4 linked regions of the Caenorhabditis elegans genome follow. The protein of the gene in region 1 interacts with the protein of each later gene in a pairwise test. Each region holds a gene or a part of one and is shown in the gene's direction. Other genes may lie near its edges. The genes, in order: nhr-21, C46H3.2, nhr-8 and ztf-30.

What was found.
Region 2: the proteins of nhr-21 (region 1) and C46H3.2 interact in a two-hybrid assay, tested with the Caenorhabditis elegans proteins (one large-scale study listed by BioGRID).
Region 3: the proteins of nhr-21 (region 1) and nhr-8 interact in a two-hybrid assay, tested with the Caenorhabditis elegans proteins (one large-scale study listed by BioGRID).
Region 4: the proteins of nhr-21 (region 1) and ztf-30 interact in a two-hybrid assay, tested with the Caenorhabditis elegans proteins (one large-scale study listed by BioGRID).

What each region holds. Positions count from the first base shown.
Region 1 is NC_003280.10:7,337,493-7,342,280, forward strand, and holds the start of nhr-21 (NR LBD domain-containing protein), read left to right. Parts: upstream 1-1,736; 5' UTR 1,737-1,770; coding exon 1,771-1,786; intron 1,787-4,788.
Region 2 is NC_003284.9:1,227,744-1,232,329, reverse strand, and holds the start of C46H3.2 (Caskin-2), read left to right. Parts: upstream 1-1,571; 5' UTR 1,572-1,583; coding exon 1,584-1,629; intron 1,630-1,925; coding exon 1,926-2,069; intron 2,070-2,223; coding exon 2,224-2,369; intron 2,370-2,807; coding exon 2,808-2,903; intron 2,904-3,178; coding exon 3,179-3,289; intron 3,290-3,342; coding exon 3,343-3,459; intron 3,460-4,586.
Region 3 is NC_003282.8:7,709,394-7,714,729, forward strand, and holds nhr-8 (Nuclear hormone receptor family member nhr-8), read left to right. Parts: upstream 1-1,750; 5' UTR 1,751-1,755; coding exon 1,756-1,836; intron 1,837-2,384; coding exon 2,385-2,477; intron 2,478-2,525; coding exon 2,526-2,818; intron 2,819-3,143; coding exon 3,144-3,240; intron 3,241-3,286; coding exon 3,287-3,494; intron 3,495-3,697; coding exon 3,698-3,898; intron 3,899-3,944; coding exon 3,945-4,415; intron 4,416-4,462; coding exon 4,463-4,532; intron 4,533-4,607; coding exon 4,608-4,776; 3' UTR 4,777-4,805; downstream 4,806-5,336. Other genes in the region: emc-6 (ER membrane protein complex subunit 6), read right to left, coding at 1-110, 154-233, 286-335; mrps-24 (Small ribosomal subunit protein uS3m), read left to right, coding at 654-746, 795-900, 953-1,053, 1,138-1,332; F33D4.6 (aECM cysteine-cradle domain-containing protein), read right to left, coding at 4,948-5,336. UniProt on the Caenorhabditis elegans protein: Orphan nuclear receptor.
Region 4 is NC_003281.10:8,594,780-8,599,795, reverse strand, and holds ztf-30 (Zinc finger transcription factor family protein 30), read left to right. Parts: upstream 1-1,925; 5' UTR 1,926-1,952; coding exon 1,953-2,097; intron 2,098-2,175; coding exon 2,176-2,295; intron 2,296-3,091; coding exon 3,092-3,307; intron 3,308-3,355; coding exon 3,356-3,517; intron 3,518-3,563; coding exon 3,564-4,006; intron 4,007-4,052; coding exon 4,053-4,160; 3' UTR 4,161-4,486; downstream 4,487-5,016.

The sequences.
Region 1 (4,788 bases):
AGCTTAGAGTCCTTGAACTGATGTAATAATTAGCTGTTGTTCCGTCCTAAGCCAATTGGCCCCTGATAATCTTCATGACGTGTCAAAAAAGTCATCTGACTGTCCCCAAAAAAGGCGGTCTTCATTCAGAGTGCGTAAGAAAAATGATAAAATAATGTTCCAATTTGTGTCTCCAGTCGCGTTTTTTCCACACCCGCCGTCCGCCACCAGCGAGCAAAGAACATTTCGAGCGCGTGTTTCAATAGTCGTCCCTTTAATGTCTGCGTCTTTTACATTCCAGTACACTATTCATTACGGGTTTCTCTGTCTCTCATCTTCATCTCCATGTACGTGTTTGCACGATTCGGTTCCCGTATACCTTGTAGGACAGGTGTGTGTACCGTGTGAATACTGCCGTACTTATCTTCATGCTTCCTACTTTTACTTTAACACCTATTTGGTATGGTTGTCAAGTTTCAGATTAAGCAGAAAAGTTCACTACGAACATATGTAGTTCTGATTTGACTTTCTGATGACTTTCTGATGAGTTGACCTAAAATATGCACTTTCTTTTAGATTAATCTCGGAGATATACCCAGTTTAGCGAGAAGAAAGAAATTATGGAAAAATGTTGTTGGTCATGGGTCACGAAACATAATAGTTTTCAATATAATAAGATTTACATAACTAAATTTAACCCGAGTTAAAGTAATAAGTCGCCTTTTGCAGTTGGTTTAGAATTTGGGCTCTCGTCTCTGTATTGTCATCCCTAATGGGCTTTCGTTTTTACAGCTTAAAAATTAATTTTTCATGAGTTCTCCCTTAATTTGACTTTTTAATAATTTTTGAAACTACTCAGTATGTTGTATTTCTTTTAATAACAAAAGGTTATATCATTCATGGATTTGCCACCTAAAATTATGATTTTTTTTTGTTTTTTACATAGATGCAACCAGGTTTTGTATTTGGTACTTGCGTAGAACTATTATTATGAAAAGCCTGTATTTATATCTTTGTTTTTGTTGATCAGTTGAGGTAGTTTTCTTATCGGTTAGTTCAAAAAGTTAATGCGACATTTCAAATTTGTGCATATTTTGCTTCCCCCATGACCACAAATAATTTCGGCATTTGTGTAGTGTGTAGTTAGAAAAAGTGATACTGATGTTAAAATTAAATATTTCAGACTTTTCTAGTACGCAATTTTAACTAAAAAATGGTGATTAGATATTTTATACCGATTTCAAAACGTTTTTGATATGCGTAGTTCAGAATTGACTACGGATTTATCGGTTATCTCATTTTTGTTCTTCTCTCAAGTAATATTTTTTGCAGCCAAATTATTATTTTAAGGAAACTGTAAAAATGTAGGTACTTATTGTTAGAGGCTAGAACCACAATGAAAGTAAAGTATGTTTCTGTCTCAAAGATGTTATAGTCTTCAGAACCAACCTCATATGGCAAATTTAAAGCTTGAGTTTATCTACCCAAAAGGTTACCTTTTAAACATTTGAACTTTGAAATCAAACCGGATATTTGATATCATACAATCTAGTTGTTTCCGTGTGTATCAATTTTGTAGGTTGTAGTGTTCGTTAATTGAGAACCAAAATATTCATTTTCGCTTTCATTTTCCTCTTTCTTCCATCATACTTCAATAATTCAAACACGTGTAGTTTGTATGTTTGTTGATAATGTTTTTATTGCCTTTTCTCTCATTAATTACTCCTCCCGTGATATCCAACTGTTTCGTCTTACAGGTGTCCTCTTCACAGAATCAAATCGTCACAAATCATGGGCCCTAGATCAAGTAAGTGATTCCCTTTTCTCCTGCGAATTGTTCATTGCTTCCTTTTCCTATCTTCTTATGTTTTCCTCTTCTTGTTGATTTCTCTATCATATAACATCTTGACCAGACTATATCCATAACTTTATAATCTTTTAAACATACTTTAGCTAACATTGACTTATAGAAATTCAATTGTATTCAATTGATAGAAAACATGAGTTGTGGCTGTGAATAATAAACATTCCAACTTAAAATGTTTTGTTCTTCTCAAGGATTGAATACCAAACTTTAATGTTGCGTACATATCCTGGTGCTTACTAAATTTATATTTTATTCGTATTTTTCCTAATTAAGTTTTTACCAATGTAGCCTTTAATAAAGTTCAAATTAAACCAACAATTTTTCTTTTGTTTCTTTTATCGCAGATAAGCCGGTAAAAATTGGCACCAGCCATAAGCATACAAGTAACTACTTCCTTCTTTTTTCCTTGATAATCTGTTCAATGATCCTACCAACCGAACACATCTTTCATTCAGTGGCTCTTCACACCTTCCCTCCCATTTTCACTTTTTGTTCCGCACAGCCGGTTGTTTCGTTGCTCACCTCCCATTGCTCCATACTCTCACGTCCTCTCTTTTCTATTCTTTAAAGTACAATTGTGTGGAAATGGGTCTGCCACTTGGGCAGTTATGCCCATAGAAACTCCACGGGTCATCTCGACTTTCAAACCTATCTAATTTTCATGATGTCATGAATTACTTCATTTCATTTCATGTCCTCTGTTTTCATATCATTCTTTTATTTCATCCTTTTTCTCTTTTTTGTGATAATAGTTTTGCGTTCATTTTGTTCATTGGTAATTTAGTTTTGCTAATTAACATATTCTGCATCGAATTACTATCCTTATTTCTGTTTTCTGTACTCTTGTTTTTCTGGTCTTATATGACAAGATCATTGAAATAACACGCATTCCTGTCTGCCTCAACGAACTAGAAGAAAAACACATATGAGACCAGGGAGGAAATAAAAATTCTAATCAAAAGCCTAGAGGAGTTTATGACGAAGATGGAAAACATGAAAGAATAAAGAAATTAACTAGAATTTCGAAGAATTTTTTTCTGATATCTTGTCTTTCTACGTTATAATAATCTGCCAAATTCAAACTGCCAAAATGTAAGAAAAAACTATATTTTGAATATTTTAAAACAATATCTTTTGAAATCCATATTTATGCAGTTTCGCCTTTAAATAAATTTACAGTTTTTGATTCATGTATTTTTTTTTTCCTGTTATGACAATTTTGATTTTTGTAAGCAAAACATATTTCTAAATTTTAAATGATTAATATCATCTTAATCGGATTATAAGCACTGATTTCAACCTTATATTTCTATAATCACTTGCGAGATATCAAAAGATCAAAAGGTTTCACATTAGTAAAAATTTTGATAGCTATAATTAAATTGCAGGATTTGCAAGTATTCCTCGACTATAATTATTTTTACCAGCAATGAAGGGTTCCCTATCAAGTGATAGGATTAAATTAAAAACAAAAAAGTAAAAATTGTTCGTTGTTCCCCCTATTCTTCCTCTGTTTATTTCTCTTTTTCCTAGACTCCTCCGCGCGAGCGCAAAATTAATGGGAACAAACAATCGGAACAAAGTTCGTCGCAATGAGAAATGGAAGAGTTGACTGTAGTTTATGCTGCTCGGAACAGATCACAATATGAATGGACAGTAGGAAAAAATGAGCGAGACTCCTCTTTAAAAGTGTGAACAGTTCTTGCACTATTAGCAGCCGAATCATTTTTTGTACATTTCTCTATTCGTGCTGATTGCTTCTCGGCTAATCCATAGATCATACTATATCAGAGATCGCTATATTTTTGAAGAGCACAACTACTACTCTCAGAATGCACCGTCAAAGAGGTAATTGTTATAATTTATAAATTCACAAAATTTTCTAAATTTCAATTCCATGTTTTAAAAAAAGTCCACAGCACAAACTTCAAAAATTTTGAAATAAAGCTTAAGCTTCACTAGTAAGTGTCAAATGAAACTTGATACGGACCACTGCAGTTTTAAAACTTTTGAAAGTCATTTTATACTTTTTCATTTGCACTGGTGGAAAACGAACTTTTGATATCATCTTCCAGCATGTCCTTTAGTTCTTTCTCTGAATAATCTCATTATTATTTAATTTTCCTCGTCTGTGAATAGTTTTTTTTTCAAAAAAAAAACACAATTTTCCAATCATTATTATTCGTTTGAACACCTTCTGGTTTGAAATCTTTTGTTAACTTCAATGGTCACAAAATTTTTGTGACTCTTTTTCTCTAAACTCTCACTGCTCTTTCTTTCTTTGCCTTTTTGCAAGACATTTTTTACATGCCGTGAAATTTTTGTTCTTGGATTGATGTATGTTATTATTATAAAATTTAATAATAGTCGTGCTTAATGACGTAAATCATGTAGTTCCGTTTTGATTTGTTCAATGCTCAAAGGGGGATTTGAACGTGTTGAAACCAAAACTCATTGCTATAAATAAGAAGAAAAAGGCTTTGATCTTTAATTTTGATCAGAATGTTGTGGTTTTCGGGGATTGGCGCTCTACACGATAATATACGATGTGTCCCTGCTACGTGATTTTTTGAACATTTTCGGAGGAAGAAATCTAGAAGTCAGGGTTAATGGCTTTATATTTTATTCTATTCTGATGAGAATTTACAACAAATTGGTTCCTATTTTCTTGAAACATTTGTTTTTTCCAAACTATGCACTTAAAGTAACCACGTGTCAGATCGTGATTAACAAAACAGATGGTAGTGGGAGAAGGCGTCGCGACAGATCAGAAATGGAGATGATTAAAGATCGCACAGATTTTTTATATTTTTGTGATAGAGAGGTCGAAGAGATCAACTGTATGCAGTCAAAATACGCATTTTTATGACAAAAATATTGAGAACAATTCGTTTGTAAAAAATGGAAGAGATCTTTGCTTGTTTATGATGTCACATGTTGAA
Region 2 (4,586 bases), on another chromosome or scaffold:
ACAAATGATCATGACAACAAATGTACATACACATTTATTGATGGAGAGACACAGATTTTGGGCGTCCGAATTCCCTTGTTCAAATCTCATCTCAAGGTCTCTTATCTGGAAAACGGAACATAATAATGATAACAATGAGATGATGATGAAGAGGAAAAGGGCGTTTATGAGAATTAACATTTTTATTCTTTTTAAGTTTTATATGTATCTCTCGAAGGAGTACAGATACAGGGAAAATCGTCACAAAAATGATTTAATTTTGCGATTTTTTTAAACACAAATATCTTGGATGGTCTTGAGACGACAAATGTTTGCTTCACTAATTTTTCATAATTTCTTTTTTTTTTTCCTCTAACTTTCTATTTTATTCAGTTTGCATAAAAAATTGTTGGCCGAGACCGGGTACCGTATCAAAACAAACTTGCTTCGTTATAAAAATTAATTTTTAGATATGTTCCAGAAAATATTCACAAAAACCTTTTAATTTATTATTTTGGTCAGTGCAGAAAATAAAGTGGTCAGTGCACTCTAAGGTTGGTCAGTGCAAGAAACTAATAACAAACTTTGTTTGTGAACATTTCTAGTCTGCTTAAAGTTTTTTAAAAAGAAAATAACCAAAAATAATTTAAAAACGGACAAACTCATTTTTGGCAAACGAAAAGAAAATTTATTTCAAAAAACAAGCTTAATCTTTTTTAATATCATTATTCTGTCACTTGCATGACGCGTCCACTAAATTTGTAATTTTTTCCTTTTTTCATATTCAGTTTTTTGACTTTGTAATGGAAATACAAAAATTATAGAAAATTAATTTTTTCGAATTTTTCTGAAAATATAATGGAAATTTCTGAAGGTAAATTATGTTTCTAAAATTATTTGCCAGTAAATAAAATAAGAGAATTAAAAATGGAAGTTTGGAAAATTACGTTGAAATAAAAAATATATAAAAACGATTTTTTTTTTCTTAAAAGTTTGTTCGTCGGAAATTTCAACAAAACCAGAGCTTTTGATTTATATACTTTAAAAAAATGATTTTGAGAATAATTAAAAATAGCTTATTTAAATTTCAACTCTGGTCATTTTTAACCAAGCTTTCCAAAATTTTAAGTATTTTTATAGTAGCTGTAGTTTAGAAGGCTCAAGCGTTTCATAATTATAGTCAATTCCAAAACGATAAAATTTGAATAGTTTAAGATTTTTTTAAATTCGGTATATATTTTAAGGAAATTTTTAAAGCCCATTACTAATTATTACGATTCTTTTTTTAAAATTTGTTTTCCTTGATCTTCTTGAGCCACAACCGCCACAAAAAAATAGCAAAAGTGGATTGTATTATTTGCGTAGATTTCCATTCGTTTGTTATCACAAAAGTCGTCGCCCTCTCTCTACCCCCCGAATATCCACCCGTACCTTTTGCTGTCTTTCGTTCTCTGGCGGAAGTACTCAAGTGGAGAAGGGATGTGCACTAAAAATGTGTATTTTTGTGATTGAAAATGCTTCTTTCTGCAGTTTTTGATGTTTTATCCTTTTTTAGAATTCGGTTTTTTTTAAATATTTAGTTAAACTTGCAGAGATCTTTTGGTATGTCCAGCAAAAAACTTCTTAGGAGGTTTTCATCAAGTATATCAGGTGGGTGAGATCATGTGGCAGAATTAACATCAAAAGTGGAAAAAACAAGTTTGGCGTAATTTCTTATAAAAATTTAAGGATTTTAGCAACTCTAGGCATGGTCAGTATAAAAAATACTTGGTCAGTGACATGGTCAGTGCTCCTGTTAAAATAGGAGCAGAAAATTGAGATTGTTTGGTTTTTGAAAAGAAGCTCAGTTTTTCATTTTTATAATTGTAAAATATATGTTCTTAAAAATTTTTTAACTGAGAAAAAATAATTTCTGGGAGTAAAACACTTTTTTTCGTTTATTTCAGATCTTCTTAGCATACCCAAAAGAGACCTTTGTGATAATGAAGAATTTACACCTTTACATAATGCAGTCAAAATGGGAAATACAGTTATGGCAAAGAATTTTATAGATTCGAAATCAGTGTGGATAGATGAGCCGGATTGTAGAGGTAATTTGAAATTTCTTAAAAAATAATAGTTTTTGCAAAATTAAAAAAAAAACCCGTTTTGAATTATCAAGCATTTTCTGAGCGGCAATTTCAAAATTCGACTTCAAAAAATACTAAAACGTGCACCAAACTGTATTAAACTTTCAATTTTTAGGCCAAACTGCTCTCCACTTATCCATCACCTACGGTGATACCGAAATGACGTCACTTTTACTGAAAGGCGGTGCAAACGTGGATTCCGTAGATTATGATGGAATTTCGGCATGTCATATTGCATGTAAAGACGGTATGATTGATCATGTAGGTTTTTTGGATTGGAAAAGTTATGTGTCAGTTCTATGGGACCCCATCTTTTAAAAAAATGGGTAAATAAAAAACTTTTGTAATGAATTATTGCTTTTTTCGGATTCAGCATGTTAATAAATTATGCTCCCAAAAATCTCAAACACTATTCTATCACTGACTGAAAATATATTAACTGCGTCAGTTTTATTTTGTTTTGAGACCCTTTCAAAAAAAAAGTCACTAAAGTTCTAGATTTTTCGAATTGAAAAAAAAAACAGAAAACTGTGTTAAATCAGGGATTCTTTATTAATTGAAAATTGAGAAGTTACGTAAAGTTTATAAAAAATGGAAGTTTTTTTAAAGCTTTTTTTAATAATGACAGAATTAAGGGTGTATAAAAATGTTTCAATTTAAAACAAAGTAATTTCATTAAAGTGAATTAAAAATTTTCAGTTTAACCTACTCATCTACTACCATGCAGACATTTGTTTAGTTGACAGAAGTGGAAGAACACCATTCGATTTGGCATGTGAATATGGACAAGAAAAGGTTTGCTACCTACTAGGGAAGGAGGCGCGGTTTCAAGACCGGACGCCTGCCAAATATCTGCACTTATTTTTGCACTATGGCGAGATGCAAAAAGCTTAGTGTTTATACCTCATAGTGCAAAAAGTTGATCTTTCAACGCGGCCGACACCTTTCGGTTTTGCGTCGTACCATACAAGAGGCGCGGTTTGCGGCACGAGATAGACACGGCAGTTCTTTTGCCGCCTGTATGGATGCCCTACTACCTACCTCTTGCATTGCTAAACAGGAAATTTCAGATGCTGGAGCGATTATTCAGCTGTGGCCTAAGAAAGATCAATTTCCAATATATGGACCATCTCCACACAGCTTCGGCATTCCACCTGGCGGCTGGAAGTGGTCAAGTTCAGGTTTGGCAAAATTTTCAGCTTACTAGAAATCTAGGCTAAAATTAAATTTCCAGATTTTATCAATGTTACTTCAACACAATTGGGATTTGAATTTTGTGACAGAAAGCGGGTCGGCTCTTCACATGGCAGCTGGCTCTGGACAAGTTCAAGTTGTTCGGTTTTTGCTGAATGTAAGTGCCTAATTTTTTATTGTTAATTTTCCAAGTTGAATAAAAATGGCTATCTGTTATTTTGTATGCCAGAATTTGTGTAAAAACCATTGAACGAAAACTTACATAGTTCAGAATAATAGAAAAGCCATGGTCAAAATCTTTGAAAAATCAAATTTAAAGATGTAATGGCTACTAGCTTTTAGTTAAAAAAAATCAAATTATTACAAGAGTATTAACTTTTCCATTTTGAAAAAAAAGGAATAAGTGGCTTAATTATTTTTAAATTCGTTTTCAAATGAATGCAAAATTTTACATTTCCAAAAATAAAGTTACGTTTAAAAACGATATTTCACTTTTGATTAGAAAATTTCAAAAACCGATGTATCTAAACATAAAACAGAAAATTAAAAATTTACAAAAAATCCATAAATTACATATGGAGCTCTAGAAATTATTCAGGCTTTCTAATTTTTCATTTGCGAAATTTAAAAAATCAATAAAAATTCAGAAAAGGTTAATGTATCTATTTTTAAAAATATTCACCAATTTCGGTCTATTTTATTTTTTTTAACTCCGCAGACCACTCTGATACATCTTTAGCTAGTTTCTAATTTCTGAAATTTTCAAAAGGAACTATTAGGTTGGTCGAAAAGTCTTTGCAAAATTTGTACTTTTCTTCATTTCTCAGCGTTAATTCATTTTTTTCTGATTCGGTTTTTTTTGCATAGTACGTAATGTGCATGTTTAATATATTAAAAAAAAACTTTTGGGTGCTGTTCAAAATGACCGAGAATTTGCTCGCCGAACGTCACGCCCTCCGATGGGTTTTTCTGTACGAGTTCCCCCAAATCTGCAATTGCAACGAAGCTCGTCGTAACATGTGTGCAGTGTTAGGCAAGAACTCTGTCACCTATAATACCATGAAGTTTTGGTTCGAAAAGTTCACGAAAAAGAACTACGATCTCGATGATAAACCAAGATAAGATCGCTCTCGTTTGAATATCGACGAGGATATTTCGAGAGCCCTGGAAGATGATCCAAGAGCAACGAACCGCGAACTTTCTGCGACTCTCAAGCATCCCCAAAAAACCATCATCAACCATCTCCACGAAACCGGAAGGGTAGAAAAGTTCGGTCAACTCGTT
Region 3 (5,336 bases), on another chromosome or scaffold:
AAAGTAGCTCAACCAGTTTCCTTGTGATTTCACGTTCCATATAACGGCCTGGATTCCAACAGAAATGAAATAGAGAATGAAGCCTTGAAAACCGGTAAGTCCGAGAATTCCTGTAAAAGAAGGATTTTTTAAATGATTTTTTTTGAAAATTACCTGCTGCCATACCGGCGGCGCACGACTGACACGTTCTTCCAAACTCGAGAGCTTCGACGTTGTTGGTTATCGCTGCCGTGCTGAAGAAATATATACATGATTATTGAATTCATGATTTTTACTTCGACTCACTTGTAACACTCATCGTTCTTCTTTTCTGCTTTTGACGATTTATCGGACATTTGAAAATCTGAAATTACAAATAACACTAATAATCAAAAAAGAACATGTTCTAGAACAACATAAAATTATTTAAAATTGAATAAAACTGGATTGCAAAGGGAATTTAAGAATTAAATAGAATAAATTAATAAATTTGTCTCTGAGAAATCTGTGCATTCTGACGTGACAGTGTATCAGTCCTGGGGAGCGCACTTGCAATATTCTTTTTTTAGCTAATTTTTTTTCTTTAAAAATATTGCATTTGCCTCGCTTTTATACTGAATCGCTTTTATAAATATATTTTTCTGCTTAAAATATTATTTTTATAAATTTCAGACATGCTTCGAAGTATACAACATGTCGAAGCCCTCAGCAGTCGTCAAATTTCGACAACATCGATGCTTCTCAAGAACAGAGCGGGTAAAACCAAGGTTTGTTGATCTTTCAATTATTTTCCCATTTATATTTTGCAATTTCCGTCTACATCAAATAGAACACAACTTCTTACATACGAAATGGCTCAAAAACCACATCATATTGGCGTGCGAAAATCGTGGCTCACATGGCATTCACAGAATCTCGAAGGTTTGTTCCAAAACTGAATTACGATTTAACAATTTTTAAAATTTGTTTTTAGAATTCCGTCAATCTCAACCACTGGTTGTTGCACAAGATGAAGTTGTTCGTCGGTTCATTCGAGGATTTTTCCCACAAAATTTAGTCGTTAGTGGAAATGAGGTAATAACTTATCAAAAAAATTTTAAAATTCAGTATAGTATCTATTTCTCTTATCCAAGTTTGCAAAACTTCACATTTTTCCAGATTGTAATCAAACGACGAGGAAACGTACTGATCGTTGCCGGATTCCTTCAATATTCGCGTCGACTCGATATTCGAAGAATCTACTGGATGTTCGGGTTTGCAGAAGAATTTCTTTCCATTCTTCTGAAACAACCAGTGAAGCTAGAAATGGCATTTGTGGAATCCGAAGAAGATGTAGCATACAACTATATCTAAAACTTTCATCTTTGTTATAGAACCGAAATACCGTAGTTTTATTTTACTTCTTTAATTGTTTCTGTTGTGTTCCAAAAAACAAAATAAATCTGAATTTTGGCATTTGGATTCTGGATTTTGGTCCCTGAAAAATATACGAGAGTCAACGATAAGACTTCATAAAATTATCAATCAGCGCATTGGTTTGACAAAAATCAATAAATATTTGTGCTCACTTCGCACACTGATAAGCAAACCCCATAGTCTTTCATACAAACTATTGCGCCCTTTCAATCGTCCTTTTTAACTATACGTGAATCACAGTTAACTATGCGTCGCTCATATAATCACTGATTATTATTCGTATCTTATTCCACTTGTGGTGTGACTTATCTGCAAAACCTAACAACATTTTAATCACTAAAACAAAAATTTCGTCATTCCATGCCTTCGTCTTCTCCATCGATGGACGAGTCTCGAAGGTCTGCTGTTCCACCAAAAGAGCCTGCTGGCAGAATTTGCACAGTTAGTTTTGATATTATTTAGAATATAATCACTTTATTGAAGAGCCTCTTGACGCTGGTTTAAAAGTTGAAAAAACCATCAGAAAGTTGTAATTTTATTTTGGAAACGGCGTGAGATTTTTCGATTTTTGCTTAAAAAATACGGTATCCGGTCTCGCCAAGACAAGTCTTTAAGGAGTACTGTAATTTCAAACTTTAGAAGAACATGCATATTTAACGTGAAAAACTAAAATAAAACACATAAATGTTTTTAAAAAAGTATTAATAGCTATGAATTATCAATGAAAATTCCACAGCTTGAAATTACAGTAATCTTCAAATGCACACAGCTTTTTGTACTGAACAAAGATTGTCGTGCCGAGACCTGGTACCGTATTTTTGACCTAAAAATCAAAAAGAAAATTCCGTTTGGATACATATCGTCTTTTCCAAAACGTAAGATGAGTTCCATAGTGGATTACTACAAATCTGGTGGTATTTTTGTAAAAATATAATAGAAAAACGTTTTTTCATTTATACTTCTAAACCAACAATTGTAATTAATTTTAGGTTTGCTCCGACCGTGCAAATGGATACAATTTTGGTGTACTCACTTGCGAATCTTGTAAGGCGTTTTTCAGGCGAAATGCTTCAAAGCATAAGGTTTTAAAAAAAAAAGCATACTCAAGTTGTTAAAAATTTTGTGTTAAGGAAATTAAATGTCCTTTCTCTGATTCTTGTCAAATCACATCAGCATCTCGCAAGTTTTGCCAAGCTTGTCGATTGAATAAATGTTTTGCTGTTGGAATGAACAGTGAATGGTTAAATGATTTGAAACCGAAGAGTTCAATTGTTTCTGGAAAATTCAAAAGAAAGAAGCCTGATATGAAGAATAACTTGAAAGTGGAAGTAGATGATACTGAAGAAGATTTGGAAAATGATGATGAAGAACAAATTAGTGTCCCCAAAGCATTACTTGAAAAGCTTATCAATAAAGCTAATGAGTAAGTTTCAATGAAATTATCCGGAAATAATAAACTACTGTTTCAACAAATTTACTATAATATAACGGGAAAATAACAAAAAAACGCCTTTACCCCAGAATGCAAAAACAGTAGCCGCGCACGTATGTAGGCATGAAGAAGTGCCTACCATGGCAGCCTTAGCACGTTCTCACATTTATTCAATTGAATCTATTTAATTAAAGTGGTCTCTCGATAACCTGTGATATGTACCGTATGAGAAAGTACAATTATCTAATCAGTAGATCACACAAGACCACAAAACTACGTCACTCTAGTAACAGACAATCGTACATTGAACTTTCAGAAAATCAAAAGACAGATGTACATGCAAATGCCAGTGTGGATTCTATCCAATTACTCAAAGACTCACCGCATACGAACCAAAGGATACAACAGCTGTGGTTAGTAGAGTTTAAAATACAAGAAAATCAATTATTTTATATTCAGAACAGTCCACAAGATATATCATTCTCCCATCATCTTCATCATTCGGATTCGTTTTATTCTTCATCTACTTCAACTCTTTCTCCAATGTCGGTTATCAGTTGTGCTCCATCTTCACATGATTCCAGTGGTTACAATACTTCTCAACTTGTTACTCAATCTCCAACCAACTACACAGTTTCTCCGGCGTCTATACCGAGCTCAATAACTGGTATGTTTTTAGGAGCAGCTCGTGAAGCTGAACGCTAGAACCTCACTGTCAAAAATGTTTGACAACAAGCCAGACATAACTCATCTAGAAGGCTATCACTACGAATTCAAAGTAGGCAGAAGAGTTACGTCCGCCTTCCGAGCCGACAAGAAAACACTTTTATTAATACGTACTGAAGTAAAGAATATACGTCTAAAATTTAGAACTGTCTCCACAAATGCCATCGCAATATCCTCCAATGTTATCACCATTTCAATTTGGTGTTATGGCCCAAATGGCTGCGCCAGCCAACTTTTTGAATTTTCCTCCAATGCCTGAAAGAACATGGACTCCAATTCAAGCAGTGTCCACAGTTCCAGTAACTGAAACTCTACCTCCAAATTTGCTAGAACAAATTCATTCAAGTACTGTTTCATGTCATCCATAAGTTTGAATTTTGCAACTTTTCAGAGATTGACAAATACATTGGAGTTTTGAATGAAGACGAGATAACTCTTTTAGAAGAACTTCATGTACAAAATGAGCCATTAAATGCTCCACTAATTCAATGGCACAATCCGAAAAGCATTGATGGAGTTTTTAGAATAATAGAAGAAGCTCTACGAAGGATTGTTAACATGGCATGCCAATTAAGTCTATTCCGAGAGCTTCACGTGGACGATAGGAAAAATCTCTTGAAAAGTGGATTTGGGGAGTTGTTGATTGTGCGGGGTCTTATGGCCTATGACAAGAGTGATAACAGCTGGAATCATTCATTTGGAGTACGAGGAAAAATGGAGGTAAAGGTGGAAGTTCTTAAGAATCCAAAACTTGAAGAACATTACAAAGCACACATGAACTTGCTTTCAACGTTTGGAGAAGATGTGAGGAATAATGAACATTTGATGCTCATTTTCAATGCAGCTGTTATATTTCATCCTCGTGAGCCAGTTTTTCAAAATTGATTCGTTTTAAAGTTATTAATTCAGATGTCTCCAACTTACGTGATAGTAAACGAGTGCACTCAACACAAGCAAAATATTTCCAGATGCTCTTGAAGTAAGTACTGTACGAGAAAAGCACGTATTGTATAACTTTTTGATTATAACATTTTTAATATTGTCCTACTTTCAGACTTCTTACATTTGAATATGGTAAATCACGTGCTGACATTGCATACAGTAATCTTCTGAATCAAGTCGTCGAGCTTCATCGTGTGAATAGGACCTTACTTCGTGTGTTTTATGGACTAGATATTGCTCAATTGGATCCTCTGATACGAGAATTATGTTCTTTTGAATAACCATTTATTAACCATGAATTATTGCACATATTGCACACTTATTAACATGAGAAAGTTTTTGAGAAAATTGCACAAAAGTCAAGGGCAGAAAGATGGAGAAAATATTACAAACAAATACACGTAGATCTGGATCGAAATCAAAATAAAAATTAATATAAAGGTATTAATTAATTACTCCTCTTTCAACCACTTTTGGCACTTGGCAACATAAGCATGAGAACGAGCACATGTTAGTGCTGGATAATAGTTCTCAATAAAGTAACAGTGCTCTTTTGCGAACTCTTCAACGGTATCAAACAAGAATTGACGTGCGAAGCTACGAAGGTTCAAGCATTGATGCTTTGTCACAACAGCTCTCTTTTTGTTTTTCTTGACACGTTGAGCACGTGTAACTGGAGCTTCAGTGGTGGTGGTGGTTGTTACATCTTCTTCTTCATCTTCAACTAACTCTTCTGCTTCAATAACATCATCTTCCTCTTCCTGTTCCACGGCAGCTGTCACAACTTCTTCCTCTTCTTCTTCTGGTGTAGTTGTTGGAGCTTCAGTAGTAGTTGTTGTGG
Region 4 (5,016 bases), on another chromosome or scaffold:
GAAGCGGCTTAAAACCAATTGAAGCAAGGATCATCTTGTCGATGGGCAGGATATACCATCCGAGTATCCGCCTATTTTTTTTCATTCGGGCCAACTTTTTTTTGCTGTTAATGAAAACTAATACGGAAAACTTTTCAGGAACACTAGTGAATATGGTGTCATTTCAGAGGTGTCAACTTTTTTCCAGAAAAAGGAAAGTTCCAAATTAGTAGTTTGTGAACTTCTATCACTCTGAAATGGAAATGTTTCCTTCTGCTAATTTTAAGGATGTATTTTAACAAGTAGCAACCCAACTGCCGGAGCTTATGTGTTCGAAATAATTCAGAACCCATTCCCCACTGCCTTCACATGCTTACAATTTATTGAGATTTTCTCCCCAATTCTAGCACATTTTTTTTCCAAATTCTTTACTTCCACTTCATCTCACCTAGCTTCTCCTGGAAACCTTACGTCATTCCTCTAGTCTGTATCTCTTATTCTTCTATACTTTCTCATCTTCTCCGGTTTGACCTAGTCTTTGCGTATTGACACTTTCGTCTTATTCCCTTCAATCCATTGCCGTCCGTCTTCATCTTTTTTCCGTCTTAGCCGTCTTGGTGACGATGGATAATTAGCGGAAAGGATAGGTGTATTGACAGTTTGACCTTGTATAGTTCATAGTCACGGGTTGCAACATTTCGGTGCCACGTCATTAGGCTTATTACAAGTGCCTAGTTTTAATCTAATGTTTATGGTCTCTTTTTGGGATATGGGAACCAAGTAAACTGAAATTTGCACGGCTTTTTCATTTGTTAAATCTAGAAAAAAGTCCCTAAAGATGTGCCTTTTTTGCAAACACTCCCCCGCGATTAAACTTTAAACCTACTTAGTTTTCTTATGCAAAATCCATCATTAAACCTTTTTTGCTTCACTTTCTTAGAAACAACTTGTCCGACGATTTTGAAGTACAAACCATAAACTTTCTTCGAAGGATTTTCTTTGGATTTTAAAAACAGGTCTCTCAAAAAAGATTAGAAGATTATGCTTTAAGATTTGCCCAGATGATCAAACAATGGCTGATGAAATTTTTAAATCTAGCTGTTTTAACCATTTCATAAATTTCAAAACAAGAGACTATGTCAAAACTTGAATACACTAATAATAGTCCAACATGACCAGCATTTTTTAGAGTTTTCTAAAAACTCCAGAGATTGTCTTTTTAGAGTCTCCTAAAATAAGTGAATACTGACAAATTGCCATTTATTGGCTACTCAACGTTCACACTAAGTTCTTCTTTTTTCTACGAAAGAGTTCAAAATTAAAAAACGTCTTCTAAATAATGGAGCAAAGAGTCACAGTTTGGAAAAGCCTCCAAACAAGTTATTCTTGGAAACTGTTGCCCCAAAAATTCTGTAAATATATTAGGTACGCGAAACCAGGCAATAATGTTGAAAGATAATACTACGATTGCTGATTTCAAGCTCCTCCGATTTACTTTTAAAATTTGAAGCTTCTCACACACACGTTCTCATAAAATTCCCGTGCTCCTGCTGCTCCAAAACATTGAATGCAATGATTCATTCGTTATCTGAGTTAATCTACCGTATCCTTGCAGCACATTCTATTTTAGAAATTCAAGTCATTCTTGTAAAATGATCTGGATTTGGGATTACATGACATACACTAAAAAGAGAATGGATCATTCTTACCGTCAGCGTCATTGATCTGGATGCCTGTAGTTAAGCTTTTTTTATTACTTTTTGCATCTTTCTTCTTCCTCCTCCGTCATCATAATGGCCTTTTGCCTGCACACATTGAAAAGTGCCTATGTGCTCAAAATGCTATGAGCTCACACATCTTTTCTTTCATTCGATTTTCAGATTTTTTACTTCCTCATTTTATCTGCCTTTGTATTGTTTCATGTGTCTTCATGTTTCATGATTCAGCTCAAAATCATGCATCTTGAAATGGATATGAAGCTGGAAGACGATAAAATTCATTCACCCACAAATACAGAGGAGGAAGGTTACGGTAGTGACGTGGAGGTTGAGAATGGAACTGATATCAGTGGATCCAAAGGTGGAAGTGGTGTTGAGTTAAAACGACCCGATTTAAAAGGTTTGTAAGTTCTGGGAATTGTTATTAGTCCACCAAATCTGATTAGGTTCTTACTTTTATAATGATTCTGAATTTCAGGTTCGTTCCGTTGCTCAATCTGTTCAAAAGTTTTCTGTCATTCTTCAAGTCTCTCCCGCCACCGTATGCAGGCTCACTTCAAAAGCTACAAATGCACAGTATGCCGAAAAGATATCTCAAGTAAGTCGGAAGTTATTTATTTTTTATTGACAATGAGGTGATCTTCCGAGCATTAAGAAAAATCCTCAATCACAGATTTTTCGAAATTGAAAGAAAGATAATCATGACATTTGATACAAGAATGAGCTGCACATTTGAGCTGAAAAGCTGCTGGAGACAAAAATATGAAATAGAATGAAAACTTGTTCGATCAGGGACTCAGAGAGCTTTTGCTACAAAAATGTATTAAGCTCCAGTACATCTTTTGATTTGATCTCCTCATTTCCCGGGTTTAGCAGGGATACTGTAGAACATTTTGCAGAGCAAAATTGTGCAGTGCAAAACCACTGCTATATTTTAAAGCATCCACCTATAATATTTGAACAAGCATATTGTTTACACCTGAATTGTTTATCACATGAAACACCGCAAGAAACTCGTTTTTATTGTTGTTCGGGTATAAGCATCTGTATGAACAATTATTGTTTACTATCCATCCACTCTCCGGAGAAAGATTCCTCTTGATCTCATTCAATTTTCACTGTTTCTTCATTCTCCGGACGATTGAGGTCATCCGGAGAAATACGAAATAGTGGAGACGCAGACGCAAACACAGTTCTCACTTTTCGAGAACGGGGACAATTGAATGAGGTTGCGCAATGGATGAGAGTGGGGGCAGAAGGGAAAAAAGTGGAGGATTGGAGCGAAATTGTAAGGGGTCAAATAATGGCTTTGGGATAAGTAGACAAACTTTATAGGAGTACTGTATTTGAATTGGGGACTTTGAATAATAATAAAAAACTATTGTAATTTGCAGGTAGTGAATCTCTTCGTACTCATATGTTCAAGCAACATCATATCTCTCGAATGTACATGTGCCGTTGCTGTAATTGGGCTTTTCCTGATAAATCACTTCTTCATATTCATCTACAAACTGCCACTAACAACAATGACAGCAACAACAATAATAATAGTGTCATTCCTCATGGAGTTATCAACAGAAGCTGCCACCTCATTACAGATCCATTCCAGTGTAAGACTATCAGATATGAGATGAACATAAAAAGATTATTGATTTCAGTAATCCGTACTCCACTTCTAAATCTACCAACCCCACAATCCCTTGAATCATCAGTACCTTCTCTTCCAATTGCAAGCATCCCAATCCCTGCTCTTCAATCGCCTATTCGATCTCAACCTCAGACACCTTCATGGCTTGCAAATCTTCCAAAACCCATACCTAGTAAGTTACATACAAAATATTTGTAATGCTTATGATAATATTTCAGCTACGGCACCAATATTTGTAGCAGATTCAAAAGAAAAAATAAAAGATGAAGTGGAGAAGCCCGATGTGTATACTTCACAGTCACCAACTTGCTCATCAGTCAGCTTCAAGTCTGATCTTAGTGCATTCCATCAGTTGTGTTCTGATCGTGCTCTTATATCATCTCCATTGATTGATACAGCTTCACCATCCTCATCATCTTCTTCTTCAAGGATCAGTCCACGTCATGAATGCTTCGACTGCCACGTCAGCAGGACAAAGATATTGATTTCTGAAAATAAATGCAAACTGTTGGAACACAAAATTGGTACGATGCAACAAGAAAGTTTAGAAGCAAATGCCCAAATGAATGGATTGGAACAAACTGTGCTCAGATTGAGAATGGAAGCACACGCGCTCCGTGAGCACAATGAGCTATTCCAAAGGAAATTGTTAGAGTGTCAGGTAAGATTTCAGATCAGAAAGAAGTATTTCAAAATTATTTTTTCAGAATCTTGCCGTGAAATTTCTTCAAAATGACAAAGCTCACGACGCCTCGGAAATGAATTCATTTCTTCGAATTCTCATAAATAACACAATTTTGACACGTCCTTTTTAGAATTATCTTTTTTCCAAATTTCTCTGAAACCTCAAACTTCGCAAGCTTTACTATCATGTTAATATTGTTTCATTTTTGGAGATTTCTCATAATTTTCGCAATATTTTTTACCAATCTCAGAACTATATTTTTTAACTTATTTCTTCCTGTTTGCGGGATTTTTTGCTTTTTATTTCCAAAACAAATATTAAACAAACAAATCAAAATCATCCGATCCGTTGTGTTCCTTCTGTGTCTCCATCTCCATAATTCTCAGTGCTTACGTTGAATATACATAATTGTAATATAATAATAATACATACTTGATATAAATTTAAATGCTGTATTCTACGTTTCTTCCAGGAAATAACTGAAACTGATCAGAGAAAGTCAAGAAAGTAAAAAAACAGTATAGAAAGTTGAATAATGTGTGTTCCAGAATTTTTGGTACTCTTTCAAAAAAAATTTTTTTTGAAAAATACATTTACAAAAGACGTAAACGGATTTCTTATCCAGAATAAACAAATAACTAAATAAATCCTCTGCCAAATATCCATGGTAACTGAAATCTGAGAAAGCTCATTTCTTAGCTCTTTAATTCCAACAAAAAATCGATGTCCATTTTCACTTAAAGCGACCCAAAAATACCAAATTTAGTCATGAGCCTCTACCAATATCCTGAGCTCTGTTTTTTTTAATGTTAAACTCTGTTTCAGCTAAATTCTCAAATTTCGCAAAGTCAGTTTTCATCAAATTATTATTTTTCATAGCAATTTTGTCATTATTTTGTGGGTTGTTTCGTTGATGTGCTGATAGGTGCTCACATTGAACATTGTCATTGCTGTCAAAATTTGACCATTTCAGGAAAAAAAAACTT